Linked DNA regions of Lepisosteus oculatus. The protein of the gene in region 3 binds, or shares a complex with, the protein of the main gene of each other region. Links are inferred from orthologs where the notes say so. Each region holds a gene or a part of one and is shown on either strand. Other genes may lie near its edges. The genes, in order: taf8, taf11 and taf3.

Region 1 (6,952 bases), on a different chromosome or scaffold from region 3:
GTAAAAAGCACAAGGAGAATCAGAAGGGTGTTTCCCTGATTTACATACAGCTCTGGATCATCTCCGTCAAAGACTCCACAGCAGCCTTCTCTGCGGCTTCGAACCCGGACTCTGTCAGCAGCGAGCTGACCACCACCTGCAGGGTGCGCCGCCGAGCGAGGTAGTAGTTCTCCGCGGGGCTGGTGGAGGTCTTGCCCCCGGAGGAGCGCTGGGGAGACAGATGGGGGATCATTCACAAACTGGACTGAGGACACTGATCCTGCACGCTTTACTTCTGTCACCCTGTCTGAGGCCGAACGCCCCACTTGGAGCAGGAGTGTACAATAACCATGCTCCCAGTCTCCCAGCTGCTCCAGGGCACTGGCTGATTACCAGGTGCACCTCCACACAGCTGGCTTCACTCATGCTCACCTGCGACTCACTGGTGAAGAAGAAATCACACCTATTGCTCCCTGGCTGTGCTAATCTTGGGAACCGTTTTTATTTTGGCCAAACTCACACTCCTCTGATGTACAGGCTGGCCCTGGTCCAACTCACGAGACCATTTTATTCAACTCTGAGAGAAACTCACATGCTCTGTAAATACACAAAAATCTCCCACATCCACAAACAGAAACAATAATCTCAGTAAAATTATACCCAATTTATATTCTTCTTTTTAAAGTTAGTTTTTCTGTCAATGAAAATAATTGAGTGACATCTGAAATGAGAATATCTTCTTCTAATGTAGCTGTTTTTTTCCATTTCAATTTCAATAAAACAACTTGTTAGTGGGGCCAGCAGGGGGCGCTCACCCTGCAGTCCATGTGGGTCCTAATGCCGCAGTATAGTGACGGGGACGCTATACTGTAAACAGGAGCCGTCCTTCGGATGAGACGTAAAACCGAGGTCTTGACTCTCTGTGGTCATTTAAAATCCCAGGGCGCTTCTCGAAAAGAGTAGGGGTGTAACCCCGGTGTCCTGGCTAAACTTCCCATTGGCCCTTACCAGTCATGACCTCCTAATAATCCCCATCTATGAATTGGCTACATTACTCTGCTCTCCTCCCCACTGATAGCTGATGTGTGGTGAGCGTTCTGGCGCACTATGGCTGCTGTCGCATCATCCAGGTGGATGCTGCACATTGGTGGTGGTGGAGGGGAGTCCCCGTTACCTGTAAAGCACTTTGAGTGGAGTGTCCAGAAAAAGCGCTATATAAGTGTAAGCAATTATTAATTATTATTATTATTATTATTATTATTAACTTGCAATTCTTAATTGCAAAATGCTACACTCCGGAAGAATCCTGCCATCCACACTTAAATGGCCGGCATGTGGAGACAGACCCTTATTTTAAATATCTGGGTACATACATTGTTGGTAAACTAAACCTCTCAGACAGCACGGCGTATGTTTTTAAAAAGGCCCTGACTTCTCATGAGAAGGTTCAGGAGCTCTTCTGTAAACAGACTCGCTCTAGAGCTGGTAGAGTGTGCTCTCTCGTATCATCTCCACTTGTTAATAAACAGGATTATAAACATGGGCAGCAAAATCAATGGTCAGAAACAGACCACGCTGAACCACATGTATACCAGAAGTGTTTACAGGAAAGCAATGTTAATAGTAAATGATACCTCAGATCCACTACATTTACAATTTGAAAAATTAGCATTTGGAAGACATTCTAGAGTATCAAGACACATTTAAGTCATTCATTCTGAGTGCTCTTACTCTTTTAAATCTCATTAATCCCACAGCATTGCATTGACAGCATGTAATAATAATAATAATAATAATTGCTTACACTTATATAGCGCTTTTCTGGACACTCCACTCAAAGCGCTTTACAGGTAATGGGGACTCCCCTCCACCACCACCAATGTGCAGCATCCACCTGGATGATGCGACGGCAGCCATAGTGCGCCAGAACGCTCACCACACATCAGCTATCAGTGGGGAGGACAGCAGAGTAATGTAGCCAATTCATAGAAGGGGATTATTAGGAGGCCATGATTGGTAAGGGCCAATTGGAAATTTGGCCAGGACACCGGGGTTACACCCCTACTCTTTTCGAGAAGCACCCTGGGATTTTTAATGACCACAGAGAGTCAGGACCTCGGTTTTACGTCTCATCCGAAGGACGGCGCCTGTTTACAGTATAGTGTCCCCATCACTATACTGGGGCATTAGGACCCACATGGACCACAGGGTGAGCGCCCCCTGCTGGCCCCACTAACACCTCTTCCAGCAGCAAACTTAGTTTTTCCCAGGAGGTCTCCCATCCAGGTACTGACCAGGCTCACACCTGCTTAGCTTCAGTGGGTTGCCAGTTGTGAGTTGCAGGGTGATATGGCTGCTGGCGATACAGTACATGCCTGCAGCTTGAATCTTATGTTTTTGTCATGTATTATAACACTGTGCACATCTGTAAAATCCACGGAATGTACTCTGTTAATACAGTGTTGTGATTATTGTTGTTTCACTGAGGCCAACGGAAATTTTCCACTGTATGTGGACAATCATATAGATTCTCATTTGAAATCATATTTCCGCTTTAACCCTGGGATATCTCATACAATTACATGTTCAGGCTAGCAAAAGTACTGTTGCATTACTGCATACAAATTTTACTTGTATTCACACAAAAAAAGTACGGTTCTATGTTTCATTTTCACAAACTTTTTTTTTTACATTTCTAGCAGCGTTAGAAACAAATCTTACAAAAAGCAGCCAATGAGTGAGAAGCTTTCCATGCCTCCGCCAATCATCGCAGCTAGTAGGTGGGACATACAGAAATGCTAACAACGGCGACCCAGCGCGCGAGCGCTGAGCTAAGCTCCCCGTCCAGAGCAAAGCGATTCCACGCTGTAGTGTAAACGGTCCAGGCTCACATATAACAAGCATTTCTCACGATTTTTCTTTTTAAATGAAGTCCTACTCGCATAATTTATTATACTTACCGTCACGGAGCCCAACGATCCACTGCCCACAACATTAGGATCCGCCATCTTCAGGGCAGACTGGCCACAGTGCGCATGCACGGCTGTCGAAAGGGAGGCTGGGAGAAGTTTATTCCCTTGTGAAAGCAGCCCTTATCCTTGCGAATCTAAATAAAACACGTAGGTGGAAGTACCTGTCGGTCTCGTATCCCGTAAGAATAAAAGTGTTATTGACGTGGAGACCTGCTTGTTTCCTGTATGGGACAGACACTCCAGTGGCTCAATTCAGCATTTCCAATGACACGTGACGTGCATGTCCTTAAGATCACACTCGTGCAAGAGGTGTAAAGAGCACACAGGGAGATGATGATAATAATAATAATAATAATAATAATAATAATAATAATAATAATAATAATAATAATAATAAATAAATAACTTCTGAATAAATAAATTCTGGACACTCCATTCAAAGTGCTTTACAGGTAATGGGGACTCCCCTCCACCACCACCACTGTGCAGCATTAACAAGGACTTCCCTTAACGACAGATTACTGTTCTTTTAAATTTTCTCCATTCATTGGAAGTTTCATTTCACACCTCTCTGCACCCATTCTGACTTCACACCTCTTGATTGGCCTCTCTTTCTGTCCCCTGCTCCCGCCTCTCACTCCTCCTCCCTCCCAACCTTTGTTCTCCCGCTACTTTACCTTTGCCTACTGCCCTGTCTCTCTCACACCTGAAGAAGGCTCCACGGCCGAAACGTTGTGTTCTCTTTCTTCTTTTTTTCAGCATGGAATAAACCTATTACTTGTTCATTAACAAGGATGATGCAAACTCCACACTTATAGGTGGCTGTGGCTGGAATCAAACCTGAGCTTCTGGAGACATCAGTTATGACTTCAGGTTTCAAAGTTAATAGATGCCAGAAGATGGAAAATATGTAGAGGCCATATAAACACAGAAAAGACCATGCAGCTCATAACATGACAAAATAAATGATAACGCATATCAACACATCTGCCTTGACACTGAGAACACATTTCAATTGCAAAGCTGAGAAGATGAATATAAAAAGGTCTGCGATGCGGTTGCTGCCGACACGCTCAGAGAGGAAGCCGGGGCGGTCTGCCAGCGGCATGGGTGCGAGAGTGAGCGTGCTCAGTGTGGTTTCGCACTCAGGTGCTCAGCTGGGGTCAGGCTGGTGCCAGGAAGCGCAGTGGCGCAGTATGTCTGTCAGTGTCACAGGCCGCCATACGGAGCTGCTCTGTCGCTCTCTGACTCAGCAATGCCTCTCCATGCACACAGACGGGTTTACAGCACAGAGAGAAGCTGTACAGCAAGCTGCTCGCTTTGGTAAGTGCTGTAGGGCCCAGTTCTGCTACAGCATGTTCCATCATTCGTTAGGCGACTGATGTGAAGGAGCTGCATAACAAGTTTTCTGCTACTGAATTTTTACCTTGTCAAAGGTAATCAAATAGCAAATATAAGAAATAAACACTAACATATAGAGCTGCTCTGTAAAAAACGTTCTTCATTTTCACTGATGGAGCCGTGGAAGAGCAAGAGGATGCTGTCTCCCACCCTCACGCTGGAGTGTGGGCGTGCTGTCTCCCACCCTCACGCTGGAGTGTGTGCGAGCTGTCTCACTCTGTGGTGCTGGATTGTGTGTTTGCTGTCTCACACTTGGGCTGGAGTGAGTCCATGCTATCTCACACCATCCCGCTTGGGTGTGCGCGTGCTGGAGTGTGCTGGAGGGCATCTCAACTCCCTTCTGCTGGAGTGATAAAGCCCAAGATGCAAAGAGATGCACAAGTAATGAGTATAAAGCTTCACTCTTAAAAAAGTTTTGGAGAGCAGTATTTCTATTCGCTTCTTCACCGATATTGCAGTAAAGAAACTGAAAGAAGGAAAAGACAGGCTGTGTGGTCAGGGTGAATTTGCATGGAGCCGCAGGGGGCATCCCCACTGCTCCCCAACTCAGCAGCCTGGGAATCCCCCCTGCACCCTGACTCAGCAGCCTGGGCATCGCCACTCCACCCTGACTCAGCAGATTGGTTGGAAGAATAGAGAGAATTTCAGAGCTACAGGGCTTCAGATGTACATTTGCTTTTGCATGACCATCTCTTTCACTCCTGATTTGTCCTGGTGCTGCAGTTTCCTCACTAAGATACTCACAACGTTAAAATAACTTGTCCCACTAGGGTTTCTCCCCACAAGGAAGGCATCTCATCTACCTGTCTCATTTCCTCTCTCCCCTGTGGCCACACAAAGTTATGTCATGTCCTGAGTTTACTGGTACCATCGGACAGTACTATGGTAAACTAATAGCATGTAAAGGTACCCCCTTGTGAACTATGGGTTTAGATAAGGCAGCTTCTACTCAGGCACAGTTTAAAAATCATCAGTAGAGAGTCAGGCCTGACTCAGGGTGTCTGTGGCTTGATGTGTTAACAGGAAACATTAAACAAACGGCTGTACTGTAAGCTCCTGCTGCTGTGCTTGCCCTATCACCGTCTCACCTGGGGGTGCAGGTGTCTTTATCCCCAGTGCCAGGTCAGTGGAGCAGGAGAATTGTGTTGACTGTGTGTAGTAGTGAGAGTCTATCTGTGTGTGTGATGTCTGTTGGTGTGTGTGTGTGTCAAGAGCGTACTTGTGTGTGTGGCAGTGAGTGTGTGTGTGGCACAGACAGCGGGTATGTTGACAGTGAGAGAGCGGTACTGTACGCAGTGTGTGTGGAGTGTATGTGTGGCGTGTGTATGTGTGCTGTGTGTATACTTGTGTGTGTGCACACATTGGCGTGCAGTGGAGTGAAGTGGGGCTGACAGTTGAGACCACATCCATTAAAACAGAATGATAAAAATAAAACAAAATGTCTTTGCCAGGTGTCTCAGAAAATGTTGTCTGGGGCTTCAGTTCACAGCTCTACTGTACCCACTCCTGCAGGAAATGGCTTTTACACTCAACTTCAGATGACAAAAACAACTAAAAACAAGAGAGTCAGCTCTGATCTCTGGTGCTGTGATGTACAGCAGTACTGTACTCGGTGTGGAGTGTGTGTGCAACAGTGAGAGAGCAGAACTGGACTCAGTGTGTGCAACAGTAAGAGAGCAGAACTGGACTTAGTGTGTGCAACAGTAAGAGAGCAGTACTGGACTCAGTGTGTGTCTGTGTGTGGAAGTGAGAGAGTTGTACTGTGCTCAGTGTGTTTGGAAGTGAGAGTGTGTGGCGTGTGTATCTGTGTGTCAGTGTGTGCTGTGTCTCTGTGTGTGGCACTAAGAGCAGTACCTGCAGTACTCTGCCATCTCTAAGTGGGGAACTTCATTAATTTGATTTCTATATAAGAGATCAACTTCAAGTGACATTTTTTATTCTTAATGTTACAACACATTTTCAAGTTTGTTACTAATAAGTCAATATGCTTTATGTATTTAACTGTTTAGGCCCTTGCAGCATAAGTACTCTAATCATTCTTTGTTAACTTTATTTCCTAATGGTATTATGCAGTTCATCTTGTGTTAATGTATATTTTCAGTTCAATAACATGTATCATAAAAACATTACATTATATAACATTTATTAGTTTCACATTCTAGTTTTCCTCTGACCTCTGATCTAAACACAGCTCATTTAATTTTAATTAATCCTGGCCTCGTGTCTGAGTATGTCTGTCACAGATTTCATCTACCGCTGCACAATAAAGAGGAATCATTTAACTCTAGAGGTTTTCTTTATATCATATTTTATTTGAGTATAACGATACACAACGACATGTTGGAGAATGGACAGCAGCTTTATTTTTTTATTTTAACCTGAACTGCTCTTCCTGCAGCGTCACATCTACCGCCCAAACCTCTGCCCCGCACAAAGATGGCCGCGGCGGCGTCCTTCATTGGTGCAGCGACAGCTGACGTCACAGGCGTATATAGTGTCTAGATGCCAGCGGCGGGCTGTCAGCGGTGGTCGGGCTCGGTGGCGGTAGGCACGGGGTGAGGTGTTCAGGCGCACACGAGCTGACCCATTGGCGCTTGGAG
Region 2 (7,419 bases), on a different chromosome or scaffold from region 3:
GCATGAAGCCTCAGAAATGAGCACAGACAGCAGAGACAGGCATATCGAAAGAAGCCAGCAGGGTATCCGAAGGAAATAAGGAAATAACGTCCTTCGGATGAGATGTAAAACCAAGGTCCTGACTCTCTGTGGTCATTAAAAATCCCAGGGTGTTTCTCGAAAAGAGTAGGGGTGGAACCCCGGCGTCCTGGCCAAATTTCCCATTGGCCCTTACCAATCATGGCCTCCTAATAATCCCCCTCTATGAACTGGCTTCATCACTCTGTTCTCCTCCCCACTGATAGCTGGTGTGTGGTGAGACTACTGGTCACTATGGCTGCCGTCGCATCATCCAGGTGGATGCTGCACACTGGTGGTGGCGGAGGGGAGACCCCATTACCTGTAAAGTGCTTTGAGTGGAGTGTCCAAAAATTATGATGTAAGCAATTATTATTAATTATAATTATTATAAATATACTGCAAACTTGTGGATTTTTTCTGGTTTTCAAAACGCCAGGGTAGGCCCCCCTGACGGGGGGGGGGGGGGGGCTTTTCTTTGTGACCTCAGGCTCACTGAGAGATAAGACGCCTGTTTATTCGGTTTCGTTAATGATTGAATTCACTTCACCCAGTGTGAAAAACCTTCAACGCTGAACACAACCCACGCACCGCCGACCTCCAATGCCAGGCTAAAGACTCACACTGCCAAAAGCAATCTCGGGGCTTTAACTAAGACTCTAGTTTCTTTTTTACTTCAGAGTTCGTATGTGCTCCCACTGTTGGGGTGGGTTTCCTCTGGGTAATCCTGTTTGCTCCCACAGTCCGCAGACCAGACTGATAGATTAACTTAACCGGCCTCTGGGAAAGTCGGCCCTGGTGTGAGTACGTGTGATCGCTGCCCTGTGACGGACTGGCATCCCATCCAGGATGCACCTGGATTGTGCCCACTGCTTGATGGGATAGGCACCGGCTTCCCCCACACTGGAAGAAGCGGTGGGCAAAGTGGACGGATGGACAGTCCAGCCAGAAAGGGAAGCACGGCCACGTCAGGCCGGATCGAGATGGAATTCCAGTCCCACGTGCGCGCGCGCATTCTCCGAGCGCTCTTCCCCGCAAAAGCACGTTCGCAAGCTGGCTTGTTGTCAAAGCGCGCACGAGAAGCCGGGCGAGGAACAGGCACATTCCAGAGCAAGGCAGACTGCTGCGCTGAGGTGTCTCAACGCGGCATGCCTGAGCACGCTAGGGAAGGCTCTCTCTCCAACCCTCCTCCCCCCACCCCCAGCCAGTGAGGAGACGGAGCGAGCTCGGCACTGTTCGGCCCCATTGCCCGCTTCTCCCGAGGCCCGGCGGCTCCGTTAATCCCCGTCCTGACTGAAACCGCAGTCCCGACGCGCGCGCCGCGGAGTAAGCAAAAAAGCAGAAGGCCCTTCTTCACAGAACGCCTTTCCAGCGCTTGACTCCGTGATCCTGCCCGAAGAAAAACGGCCAAGGTGGGCTGCCTGCTGTAAAGTCGGGCACCGGGGCCCTAGAGAATCAGCAGAGGCCTGGCACTTGGGCACAGCGGGCTGGGCACTCGGAAGTGCCAGGCGGTTGTGGAAACGCAGGCTCAGAACACACACACGCCGCACAACCACAGAATCTGAAGCCAATCTGCTCAGGAGCAACGACGTTATTCTGTACCGGGGCTAAAAGAAGAGCCATGGATTGGACTGTGGGCAACACGGTGGAGCAGTGGTCAGCATTGCTGCCTCGCAGAGCTCTGGGTTCAATTCCAGACTCGGGGTGCTGTCTGTGTGGAGTTTGCGTGTTCTCCCGTGTTCATGTGGGTTTCCTCTAGGTGCTCCAGCTTCCTCCCACAATCCAAAGACATACTGGTAGTTAACTGGCTCCTGAGAAAACTGGCCCTGGTGTGTCTGCCCTGTGATGGACTGGCATCCTGCCCAGGGTATACCCCACCTTGCACCCATTGTTTGCCACGATAGGCTCCAGTTCCCCCAAGACCTTGAATTAATTGGATGAAGTGGTTAGGAAATGGACAGATAAGGTGGCACAAAACACACACATCACTTCGCAGTTTTGATTTCTCTAAGCCCATGTTTTTCTGATGCTATGCACTTTCACAGCCAAAGCTTGGTAAAGTTCAGCAAAGACTTACCAGCCACACAGTCACCACAGTACTGGCACCTGGGAGCTAGTCCCAGCTGATCCAGTGCCATGAACACTGGCCATATAAAACTCCAGTGAATTTAGCAACATTTCTGTCTGCAGAGTGGTTCAGTTCTCATAGTATCGTCATATACCACCTGGTCCAAATATCAGCCCTGCACACTAGTCTGCCTGACACACAATGGTAAGCATTAAAAAAAGGAACACGCCACGCAGACCTACAGTATTATGAGCTGACCTGAACTACTGAATCCTGCATATGGAAACTTGAACAGACAAGCAGATGTTCCTGCACAAAATCCATTCGCATATTTACAGGTGAGAGGAGGCTAGTCACTCGATCGAGCTCGTTCGGTGGTTGCAAATTGATCCAAGATCTCACCCGGTCCTTTCTTTAAAGAAGCCAGGATGTCGGCTTCAACAATATGGCTGGGCAGCCTACTCCAGACACCCGCCACCCTTTGTGTAAAGAAGAGCCTCCTATTCTCATCTTTAATATTTTAGGTCCTTCGCTTCGGCGCTGTACCGGTAAATGCACATCGGTCTGACAGCTACATGCTTCACTTCAGCAGGGGACTGCATTATTAAAGGCAAACAGTGTTGCTCTGGTTTTTAAAATAACGGCTTTTTTCGCCAGCCGTTGATCTCAGAACCTTCGTCTTCTTTGCCTCTGAATTTTTGGCAGGACTACCCTTCATCACAAACACTACTACGGTTCGTGTATTTTCTGAATTTAGAAAGCCTGACCAAAACCACACTACGGGATCAGGATTTGGGAACGAATAAAAACTGGATGAAAAACACAGCTGGGGTTAACTTGACATGCCCGAAGATTTGAATCATTAAACTGGCCGATTAATCAATATTGACGGGGTACCACAGAACACGATTATTTCCGAAGGCCTGATGTGCGGTTTTTTTTCTTTCAAGTCAAACGAGAGGAGAGAAAAGATCGCACTTAAAGCAATGATGCCCAGTGCTCTGAAGGGAAATCGCGTAGACATGCGGAGCTCTGAGGGTGGGCACGCAAGGGGTGTCTTCCTCATCCGAGTTAGTTACTTTAAAACACATGCTAAGGTCATCATTATCTTCGCTCATGGACGCCTGCCAGCCATTGATCGAGCCGAGCAGAGCTCTCCAGAGCCTACAAAGTGCACTTCAGCTTTCACTTGTCGGGGGCCGGGCTATGCCGGGGGCCACTCGAAGCGCATGACACCGCCGAATTGGATTTCCGATTAAGAGGGTTTTAATGTAATTACATCAAGTACCGCGCAGCATGTCAGGACTAATTTTACGACGCATCAAGTCGATGTTTACGGAGTGTGAGTTATCTCCGCCCTCCGCCCATAGATGCGCTATAACAGGAGTCATAATTTCTTTTACCGCGTTCCCCTTTTTATCAGATAATTCATTCGGTCATCTTTTCGGGGGAGGTAACCGATGAAACGAGAGGAGGTAGCACCTTCATACAGTAACAGCTTTACCATCTTTAGTGTTTTTAAATCTTCTTTCAGGGACACTACTTCCAAACCGTTTAAAAAAACGGTTACCAGAACAGTAAAAGGAAAAGGGGTCTTAATGACTTAATGACTCTTTCGACATGAAAATCTTAAACGAACCTTAAATTGTAAGCGTTAATTTGTCTGAAAGGATTTCGTAATCGAAGCCTGTATCTATATATAGACATCGTCAAGACTCGCCATTGTAAAGATGCTTTGTGCAATATAGCGTTAGGCAACTGTACGGTTTTAAGAGGCACATGCGTTCGGCTATTTCCGTCAGTGTCCAGATTAAATTATTACAGATTAGGAGGAAACACAGTTACTGAAGAACAGACGCTTAAAGAACCACTTAACAGACACGAAAACGGCTCTCTTTCCTTATCAGAAATGAATTTCGCTGCACCCTCGTTCAGCTTCTCCGATTTAAGTTTCTGATGAAATTAAACTGCAGTTTTCTACCTCCTTTCAATGTTTAATTACATTTTCTGCAATTAAAAGAGGTGACGCGTTAGCTGCTTGGAGTTAGGTTTCGAAGTCAGGTCGGTGACACACGCCTGCAGGGTGGCTCAGCTCCGCGCTTGCTAAGGCTGTGAGAGACTACGGGCGTCTTTTTTAAATGCACACTGTTCGTATTTACAGTACACATCTCGCCGAGAGCGCTCAGGAGAAGGAGGAGGAGTGCAATTCACACATGCTGGACTACTAGGAGTATGAATGACCGCAGCACGGACAGCTCCTTGCACGCCGGACGCAGTGCCCCTCTCCACACCCTCGCCCCTCCTGCGCGCCCAGGTACCGCGGGGGAGTCCAGTCCACCCGGCCCGCGCACCGGTGAAAACCCACAGAACAGAAAACGTTTCAGTCCCAGATTTCACGCGTGGAAAAACGAGCGGCATCGTAGACGTTTTCGCGTTGTTTACTGATATTGTTTTAAAAAAGATGCAAACTCGAAAGTGTGCACAAACAACACGAAACCACAAAACAAACGACCGGGGAAGCATATACAAAACAGCAAAACAGCGCAACGAAGGCAAAAATAATCATGACCTATTTCTTGGTCGGTGTCTGATATGTTAAAGGGATTATAACGTCTCTTCGTGTTGTGACGCTCTTCTGTTGTCTCTTGTATTTTTCATCAGCTTCATGGGGAAATAATTGTCAGGTGTTCTTAATATCGCACGTCAAAATTAATCGAAGTGGGTGCCTTGCGATCAACTACACAAAAGAAAAAAATGACAGTAGCGATATCTTGCGACATCTGCATAAACCCAACCAAATTTGTCACACGTTTTTCCCACGAACTGATTTCGAGCATATCAAGCGCCAAACAAAAGACGGATTCCCTTGCAGTGTGCACCAGCCCGTAATGTGTTATTAAACATGGCGAGGTAAGGAAAGGGAGGTCGACTTCTTGAAATGTGGAAGCAAATATTCAAAGAATGTTTGCCCGGCGCAACCCGATAGCAAAGGTGTGCTGAGGTCCGCGTCAGAGACAGGAGAGTTGAGGGGAAAAAAATATTTGCAAAGACGTGGGCTGAACTGGGTCTATCAGATCGTTTGTTATCGGCTCAAAACTGTATTTGTCCAAGAAAAAAACGATTAAATCTTGGGGGGTGTGCTTTGGACACCCAGGGTTACGCTTAGGCATTCTGAAGACTCACTCTTTCACCCACTCAATAATAATCTTCAAACCGCGTTTTGCACAAACCCCCCCTCCTCCTTCTCTTGCTTTCCTCCTCCACCCGGGCCGGACCCCTTCTCCCTTTCCTTGTACCTGCACCGGCAGGTCCGGTCTTCCCCCCACCTCTCACCTGAGCAAACTCGAAAGCGGGTGAGATGAGGAACTGTGACCGCCGCCTCCTCCGCCGCCGCTCCCTCCGCCTCCCGAGGACCCTCCACCGATCCCCGCCGACTGCCGCTTGCCGGATAGCAGCTTCTCGACGGCGGCCAGATTCCCAGTGCGGGCAGCCTCCAGGAGCTCCTGCTCCTTCCCCATCTCGGCTCGAGAATGGAGCCAAAGAGGGAGGCACACGCAAGGCAGCGGCTCAGGCGATTCCCTTTCAGCCTGGTGTCCCAGAGGCCAAGACGCGTATCCAGGCTCCAACAGCAATGCTCCCACTGACAATAATCCTCCACAGTTGATCGATGTTTTTCCTCGCGGCAACTCGCGCCCCGGATCCCTGCTCCACTCCGCCGCTCCAGGGAAAGTTTCTTTCAGCACCACCACCGGCCAAACTTCCTCCGACTGCCCCCCCGACACGTCACTTCCTTAGGACAGCCTCCTCCTCATGATGTCATTTGGTTACTTTCCAACGTCATTTCACAACAGCCCCATTACCCCATACCTGGTACAACCGGTAGTGAAATCCTATCACCCACTACCTCCCCCACAAGTCTGGATTTAAGTCACTTTAATAATGCGCTGAGAATGCCAAGAATTGCAAGACAATCGCATTTCGTTTTAATGCAGCTCAGCACAAAGAAATAAATATTCGTATCAGTTTCTTTGTGTCGGAAACAAATCAGATGTAACACGTTAAATGTATCAGAATGTATTTAGATGTGTCTACAAATTAAAGGAACTACCAAACACGAGAAAACAATATTACCACATACACTTCATTAACTATAACGGATATCCGCTATTAACAAGTGTAAGTCAGATAGGGCTGTTCAGCCTGCAAATACTGAAATAAATTGATATGTGGGGGACTTTTATTTGGGTGGGCAAAATTGCGGAGCATAGCACGCGTGGGCTAGAGCCCTTAAGTGTAGTCTAAGAGGCTGTGGTTTTTGCTTATGTAGACGTTATCTCTGAAGCCAGTAATGGAGCTGAATCCTAAACAGGTTGAGCTTCTATTTGTGAGAAATACATTTTAATCGACACGGTTTGTTCCAGGTATAGCTCGTGAAATGGATTTTGTCGGGTAGGGTGACTTTAAACTCTCCTGCCCCACCCAAGCTCAGTCCTGGTACCGACCTGCCTGGATGTCGGATATTCTTCTGTGCTGGGGTGTCTTCTCTGTGGAGTCAGCAGGTTACTCCTGTGGGCTGTTGCGTGGTGTGCCTGCCAAGTTAGACTTAGGGTAGGAGAGCAAAAAAATAATCAATTGCTTATTTACAGGAGGCAACTTTATTTCCTAGTTTTATATTTAACCGTTTGTTATGTTCTCCTAAAATGTATTATCCAGATAATGGAATTTGAAGGCTTTGCCCTCCTCCGCACTAAAATTCCGTTCCCATGGTTAATTCCTGTAGTGCAGTTCCATAGTCATATGTAGAAAAGCAATATTTGAATACAGTCTGCTGAGTTTCAGACAGCAGCTTCCTTACTAATGCAGTTATGGCACTGATCAGGTCACTTCACTTCAAATGCGGTTGTTCATTAAAAGATTCTTCATCTTTTTCTGTACGCCCAGCAAACCCAACACCCCTGGCAGACCAGCTGTTTCTTGCGTTTTCTTCTCTTCCCGGGTCGGGATCTCAATATGTTCTGCTCTTTGTTCAACGCCATGACATTTACGGGACCGTTTAACTAAATGTGTTTCAAATTGGCCACATGCTCTCAGCAGAGTTCTATTTGCTACAATTACAATATATTTGTATTTTTTTATAATCACGTGTCACTCGTATTAGACCTAAACTGTTCATATGAAACATTTTCAGATTAAAAAAAACACGTTTAGGCTATTGCTGATAGATTATATCACTTTCAACACATAAAAAGCGAAATCCACACTAAATGTTATGGCTACGGTTGGTTTATGTATCC
Region 3 (7,642 bases):
CTGTTTGAACTAACTGCACGGACTAACTGATATAAGTCTTTTTACTAAAATTTTAAGTTGCATAGTAGGTACTGTTATTACTAACAATGTAGTAAACAAAGACCGGACAATTATCATCTATAATCATCAATGGAACCCTTATATATATATATGAAATAACATTTCTTACACTTTTTATGTGATTGTAGACATATATCTGCCCTCACAATAATATAGTGAAAAGCCATTTGGACATCTATGATAGAACACTGGACAATTACATTTTAATGCTCTTAATTGAATTGGTATCACTACATAATTGATCTTCGCTGTAGCTTTATAGAGTGAGTGGGATTGGTGTACTCCCTGAATCTTTAAACATCAAAATGAATATGTTACAAAATGATTAAAGAAGAATTGTAGGGATTGTATTTTACATTGCACGTAGGGATTTTTCATACAATTTTCATTAAGAACCATGTATAATGCACAAAAATAAAAAGGGAGTAGATTTACTGTACATTACGCACCGTCAAAGAGAATATCTCAATGTACACATGAAACCAGCTGAATTTTAAGTTATTGTAGTTAAACTTGTCTGGCCACAACTAAATACTCACAGCAGAAACACAGACCTTTTTCGGAAGCTTAAGGAAGGAAAGTTCAGGAACGAATGACAAAATAACTTTTTTCACAAACACAGCTGAAACTCTAGAATAGTTTGAAGATGTTGTGGAGGTGGAAAATGTTTGGTCTTTTCAAAATCTCTATGACTTTTATAGGAAAGGTGGCACATCTGAATGCTTCAGACAACAAACATTACATATGTTTTCTGCAATATTTTGACATAATCTAAAATTATTTCATAAAAATATTCTAATTTCTATTTAAACTAATTATAATATTTATTCATCACATTTGAAAGCTGGGATTTTTTAAAGCATCTAGGAAAAGCTTTCAAAATTAGTTAAGAGAACGTCACAATTTTTAAAAATGCAGACCTTTTTGGAAATAGTGCATCTCAGTACAAACCAATCTGCTGAGCATGAAACTAATGCCTCTGGAGGACTGAATGTTACTGGTTTCAATGATTTAAAATATATGGATATATAAATGTTCCCACCTTCTTGTAACGATACAATGGGAGGCATATAATCAGGAATGTATTCCTTTCTCTCTTCGGCATCCTTGCTGCCAGCCTGGGGGAACTGCAAGATGTTGTTTTTGCTGACAGGAAACAAGGGGATTTGATGTGCAAAGCCCACCGGCTCCAGATTGTGGACATAATCTTCTAGCTCATTCAGGTTCACTCCCAGTAGCTTGAATGCTTGCCCAACGTCATCTAACACAGGATCCGTGCGGCCATCTGAAAGAAGTACAGATAATTATTAAATATGTGTCTGTCATGCATTTAAATGTACTTAAACATTTGGGACAGTGCCTTGATAATTTAACCAGCCTGGAAGAAATGTTCTAAGGAACCTAGGGATACTAGTATGAATTCTAAGGTAACGCAAGGGCTTGTATCACCTAATTGCTGATGGTTTCAAGAACAATAACTGCTGATTATCACTGTAATAAAGTCATTATGGTAAAGGAACATGAACTTCATGCAGAGCCAGTGCAATAAATAAATAAGCATACCGCCTAGGAAAATCTGTGTATCCCTTATATAAATAAGATCTCAGAAAAGCTTTTGTAAAAACTCAGATGTCCAAACTGCAAATCTGTTGATTATCAGGTTTTCCTCAAGCATGCAACTTCACTTCCCTCTATTTAACAGAAAAATCATTCAGAACCAAGAGATCGAATTCAGCAAAACAACCACATGTACACAGCCCATGCTTCATCATTTAGAAGCTGGGGAAACTTTTTACCTAAAAAGGTAAAAGTTAATAAAAATGACAGTAGACAATGTTCGATTTCTGAATTTGTGCTTTTATAAAAGCATGTGTGAAAAAAACGGATGTTTTACGTTTGGAATACACATGTAAGACGTATCCTTAAAAACGAAATTAAAAACTAAATGGTTGATGAAATTTGTGTCTTGTAGATTCCTGCAAGCATAAAGTATAATTTCTAAACAATAGGTATAATAACCCAAGTTCATTATTTTTTGACAGGACGAAACAACACTTCCAGCAGCTAATTGTTCAATTATTGCTTCGATAGAACAATATGCAACAAGGACGGAGAACACCGGGTTAATGGAAGATCTGAGTAAGTTAAATGTGAAAATATTCAGGTGTCATTTCGCACTGAACCCTATTACTGTATATTTACCGTTTTCCGGTTTTAACTAAACGTTTTTTAAACATCATCCTACAATTATGTTGCTGCTGACCAGTCAGTCGGTTTCTAAGTGTATATAGTTCCCTCCCTTTTCCGATGATATGTGATATATAGGCTCATCAGCTAGCGACACACACCTGTAGGAAACTAATGATGTACTGGCAGAAAGCACCAGAAAAAACACCGAATCGCTGACTTCTTTGCTTTTGCCTAAATTTTAATAAAAGTTTTAAAGAATGTTCCCTTTTTACTTGCGACTGCGGCATTTTTGCCAGGTTATTCCTTACTGTAAAACAAGTTGGTTCTGTGCTGGTGCTACCACGCACCTCCTGTCATACTAGGCCTCATCAAGAGAAAGCAGGAAGGAGTGGAGTTGTTGCAAAGCGATAGCACTGTAAATCCACACATAAATACTCACAGAGCTCCGAGTAGCGATGGCATCCCCTGGCCAGCTGCTGGATATACCTGTGCAGGACATCAGTGAGGAGGTCGCAAGCCGTGAGCTGGACCGAATCCCAGCCTAGAGCTTGGCAGATCTGCGCCACGGACACTCGCAGCAGCGAGCGAGCATAGCTCTCACACATCCCGCTGGTTCCTTTTTGGGACCTTTAACTTTTCAATTCCCGGTAAGAAAGGTGTTTCTTGTCCTCATGATGCATTAAACCCAGAGGAATGAAAACAAAGTCCAGACAATAAACGTATTGTTGACATCTAAAATAAACCATAGGTTGGCGCTAATGCAGAAGCGGCCATCTTGATTCCACTCACAGACCATTGCCGAGAACATCGATGAGGTCCGCACATGAGCAGTGAGAAGTTAGACTCGATTTCGCGTCTATCAGCTCGTAAGTCTGAGATGAAGAGCATGCTCTCTTGTAGCAAAACAACGCAAAGTTCAAAGTTGTTATTCGTTTTAAAATGAAAACAACAGAACCTACGCAGTCGTGTTATTTTGAATGGCGCATGGTCTTATAAAATATTGTGCGAGTTCCCAATTGTAACAGTACGAAAAAAGGTTTCGTGTGTTTTTAATCGGTAGCATATATTAACCGTCATCTAGTTTCTTTTATCGCCGTTGTTGAACTGCTGTTCTTCTAGTACTTAAAAATACACGTGGCCTGTATTTTGTTATTTTTACTTTTTTATTTTAACAACAAACAGCCGGAAGCTGGAGTCTATGATTGTGCAAGCAACAGGCACAACCATAGGAAATATAATCATATAGTAGCACAAATATAGGAATATACCCGGGGCCGGGTGCCAGTCAGGGTGCAGAGACACGCACACACTCACGCCAGGGCCAGTTTTCCCAGAAGCCAATTAACCCACCAGAATGCCTTTGGACTGCAGGAGGAAAACCGGAGCAGACTAATGAGAAACACTTTTTATTACTATGCACCTGTGTAAGTTTAATGACAATAAAGTTGAATTGAATAAGTAGGAAACCCTTGTGAAGACGGGAAAGACAAAAAGGTCCACGCAGATGGCAGCCCAGGTATTGAACCCATGGCCCCAGGGCTGTAAGGTAGCAAAGCTAACCAGTGCGCCCCCCGTGCCACCGTTATAGCACTTGTAAAATATGATAGTTAAAACACAATTACTAAACATTTTTTACGACCTGAAAATAAAATATTACGATTCCTCGTATTATTAAGTTCATTCAGTCCAATTGTGCAACTTAGAACTCGGCTCTTGCATTTTAAACGAGAAAAAAGCAACATACACACGGTCCATGTGCCAAGTCCAGTAAAGGATTAGCCCGTACTTACAGGATGTGTCTGCAGTTATTTCCTTCCAACTAAGCTCTTGTTTACTTTAATTTGCTCTTACTGGGTCCAGTTAAAGACTTCGTTCTGTTTTTCAGGTGCTGCTGCCTAAGACACTGAGACAACTTGCAATCACACCATCCATCCAGGACCAGAATTGGACACTCCCCGACAAAAGTTTTTAAGTATCCTTTTTGTTCTTTTAGAAACCTTTGATTCATTTTTTTGCCCGATACCATTAAGTATTTGTAAAATGGGCTTCAGTGAATTCTGAGATATGGCAAAAGCTCTCGTAGCTTGAAATTCAAGTTATTCCATTTGTTAATGTATACATTAACCAGTGTGAAGCATTTTGGCTCCACAGTTGTTTTATTTGAAATGTTACTTACTACATTAATTAAGCAGATTAAAGCACTTTTTGTCAATTGCTTTTGGGTTTTGTTGAATACTATTGATTTTTTAGTAATGATGGTATTGTCCCCGTTTCAAGCACAAAGTGATCGTTTCTTTTCATAAACAATATGATGAAAATAGTTAATTCATTTATCAATGAAGAAACCTTATACTTTAAAATAGTACATCTGGAAATACTCAAGCAATAACAATATTCTTTGATAGTATACACCAATATGAAAAGTTCACTATTCCGTAATGTAGATCTTCAATATAAGTTATAAAGAGTGGAGGTTTCAATACAGATCCTTGTGGTACACCACTAATCACGTTTTGAGCTTTTACCCCTTACCTGTACTTTTTTGGAGAATTCATATTATGAGGAACTTCAAGTATTGTAAAAATCATCTGGTCAACTTGTATTCATTACTGCTACTGCTGAAGTTCTAACGAGATAAACAAGACCAACTGTTTCTCCTTGAACATATTGACGCAGATGGATGATTATCTAATTAAAATTCCAATAACGCTGATAGTAAGAAAAGTAAGACTTATTAATCTATACTTTGTTCAGTTTTTTCACCTTTTGAATAGATAGGTGTATCCATCATTGTGTATTTACCACCTTCTTGAGAGACTGCTGATTTTTCTTGATGGGCTATGAATTATTGTTTTGTGTACAATTGGTGGGATACCATCAGGCCCTGGAGATTTCTTTAAATATTTTAAAATACTTTTAACAACTTTCACTTCTATGCTATTTAATATAGAACATTTTTTCTTCAGTCTGCAGAATGTACTTAAAAGTTTTCGCTAAACAATAGGGGGAAATATTAGCCCTTTTAATCTATTGTCACCTCTGGGGGACAGTTCTTTTACTGTTGTAATACAAAATTGTAGTATACTGTACCTTATTCTCTCTCTACCTAATATCCCTTTCACTTGTGCTCCCCTTTTTTAAAATCTGAGTTTGTTTCATATGGAATTTGTGGCATTTTATTCTATTCCTAGTAGCACATACTGTATCCTTCATGATTAACCTCTCTCCTTAGCAATTCAACTTCACTACTCGGCTTAAACACAAAAAATAACCTTAAATTTGATATTCTTATAATATTAGGATTTAACAAATAACTGCAAGGATACAAAAAGGTTCAGTATAACAGTATACTGATACACTATAACAGTAGTATACAAGTTATCACTAATACTTTACAGCTCTTGGGTCCCGAGTTCTAATTCTAATTCTACTGTAGGGCATCTTCTGCTTGGAGTTTGCATATCCTCCCCAGGCAATGCTCCAGTTCTCCCCTACATTCCTGCAACCTGCTGGCATCTCTAAATTGCCCCCCCCCCCCCCCCCAAAAAAAAATTGCTCTTTGTATTATTGAACAAATACTGTTCTTTTTTAAAGTTAATAAACACTCATACATCAGACGACTTTGACTTATGAGATTTGAGATTCTGGTATAGGTACCATTAAAATAGGTTAGTTTTGCATTAAACAGCGTGGGAAGAGGCAGAAATGTGCATTGTAGATCTAGCTGCAGAACAGTGAAAAAGCTTCTCAGTCTAACACTGGATGCAGCCAACTCAAACTAAGGGTTTGCAGACTCTCCTACTATACTTTATTTAAAATTTAGTAAACGCGGCTCATTTTCAAAATGTTTGAAAACAAGAAATGGGTTATTTTCCATTGCAGTATTGATCTATACTTTAATGTTTTCACAACTTGTAGAACACAATTTATTTTTGCTTTTGTGTAAAACGCAAATTATCAAAGGAAAAAAAACAATTACAATTCTGTGTAAGATGTTTATTCGAAGATATTTTACAAACAGAGGATAGTTTCACGAATACTTGACAGAACTGATGATTCTCAGCGTGGACACCAGAACCTTACTGAAACTTGATAATAGCTGGTCTTCCATGTTTATCTATAACAAAAACATATAAAACTGGTTATAACAAAAGTGCAATGTATATTACATCTGTTGATTGCTATGGAATGAAAATAAACCAGGTTGTCTAAATGAACTAGATCCACAGGCAGAACAAAGCACTAACTACTAACAGCTGAAGTAGATTTAGGCATAAAGCATATGTAATAAATCTTTAATCTCTAAAAGGTGAAAATGCCAAGCCACAAAGGAGATTCAAAACCATACATGTCTTCCAAAAATATTTAATTAGGGAACAAACTAACATGAAAATCACAATATCTAGTCTAAGGCACGTTACCTCGGTTTTGGTTCTGATAAAACCACACTTCAATCTCTGAAAACATGCCAGAAATAAATCAGAACAAAGGATCAGTTGAAATAAAGAGTAACCTTTAAACTACATCTTTAACAAAGGATTAAATCCTGATTGAAGTTTGGCCTCAGGAAATGGTACTTCACTAAGTAGTAATACTCATTGATTTCTTCACTGACTAGACGGGGAAATCCTACAAAAATGTTGCAATTCAAAGCCTGTGTCTGCCAGTACATAAACATTATTTGAAGCCATCACATTGACACACCTAATTTAGGTATTTGGAATTAGCTGCCACTTCACGCGAGACAGGAACACCCAGGAGTGTTAAGAGTACATTGTTGTCCATTGATGATTTAACAGGGATCATATTCATATTCCAAAAACATAAGATTTTATGATCATGTCTTTGTTTAAAATGCAGGTTCGCATTTTCTTAGCTCGGAGATATTCACACCCGTTCCCGATGTGCTCTAGTTCACCAGGTTTTACAGGTCAATGAGTCCAGACTGGAATAAAATCTAAAGACATTGTGGCTCTCCAGGACTAGGAGTGAATATCAGTGCCTTGGCTCAGGGGACCTCCATCCTGGTCCTGGAGGTCCAAGCACCTTCTGGACTTTGTTCCAGTCAAAGCCCCGTTTCACAATTGAACATGAATCAGGATTCACTTGAAATGCTTTACTGTTTGTTTTCAACTCTTAAACATGTTGATGTTTGATTTGTAACAACTGCAGTTCTTAAGGACAATTAAATTACTGAATGGACAAAATAAAAAACTTGTAAATATTCCAATCTAGCTACTTGTTATTGCAAATAAGGCTTCAATCAGGTGGAAGAAAAACTGGAAGGTTTGTGGTTTTCCTGGATCAGGACAAGAACTCTGCCTTAGCTGTTTATATAATAGGGCACATCGTACTTTTACTCAGGACAGCAGTCCAAAAAATGATCAATATG

Evidence for each region.
Region 1: taf3 (region 3) and taf8 share a complex: the UniProt entries of both Homo sapiens proteins name them as parts of the TFIID basal transcription factor complex. The link is inferred for Lepisosteus oculatus from reciprocal best matches to the Homo sapiens genes TAF3 and TAF8.
Region 2: taf3 (region 3) and taf11 share a complex: the UniProt entries of both Homo sapiens proteins name them as parts of the TFIID basal transcription factor complex. The link is inferred for Lepisosteus oculatus from reciprocal best matches to the Homo sapiens genes TAF3 and TAF11.

Annotation. Positions count from the first base shown.
Region 1 is NC_090700.1:40,803,902-40,810,853, reverse strand, and holds the start of taf8 (transcription initiation factor TFIID subunit 8), read right to left. Parts: upstream 3,089-6,952; 5' UTR 2,988-3,088; coding exon 2,940-2,987; intron 209-2,939; coding exon 49-208; intron 1-48. UniProt on the Homo sapiens protein: The TFIID basal transcription factor complex plays a major role in the initiation of RNA polymerase II (Pol II)-dependent transcription.
Region 2 is NC_090700.1:29,936,053-29,943,471, reverse strand, and holds the start of taf11 (transcription initiation factor TFIID subunit 11), read left to right. Parts: upstream 1-4,417; 5' UTR 4,418-4,439; intron 4,440-5,458; coding exon of another isoform or gene 5,459-5,643; exon of another isoform or gene 5,644-6,068; intron 6,069-7,419. Other genes in the region: ankyrin repeat and SAM domain-containing protein 1A, read right to left, coding at 5,459-5,643. UniProt on the Homo sapiens protein: The TFIID basal transcription factor complex plays a major role in the initiation of RNA polymerase II (Pol II)-dependent transcription.
Region 3 is NC_090702.1:43,098,823-43,106,464, forward strand, and holds the start of taf3 (transcription initiation factor TFIID subunit 3), read right to left. Parts: upstream 3,031-7,642; 5' UTR 2,856-3,030; coding exon 2,690-2,855; intron 1,346-2,689; coding exon 1,103-1,345; intron 1-1,102. UniProt on the Homo sapiens protein: The TFIID basal transcription factor complex plays a major role in the initiation of RNA polymerase II (Pol II)-dependent transcription.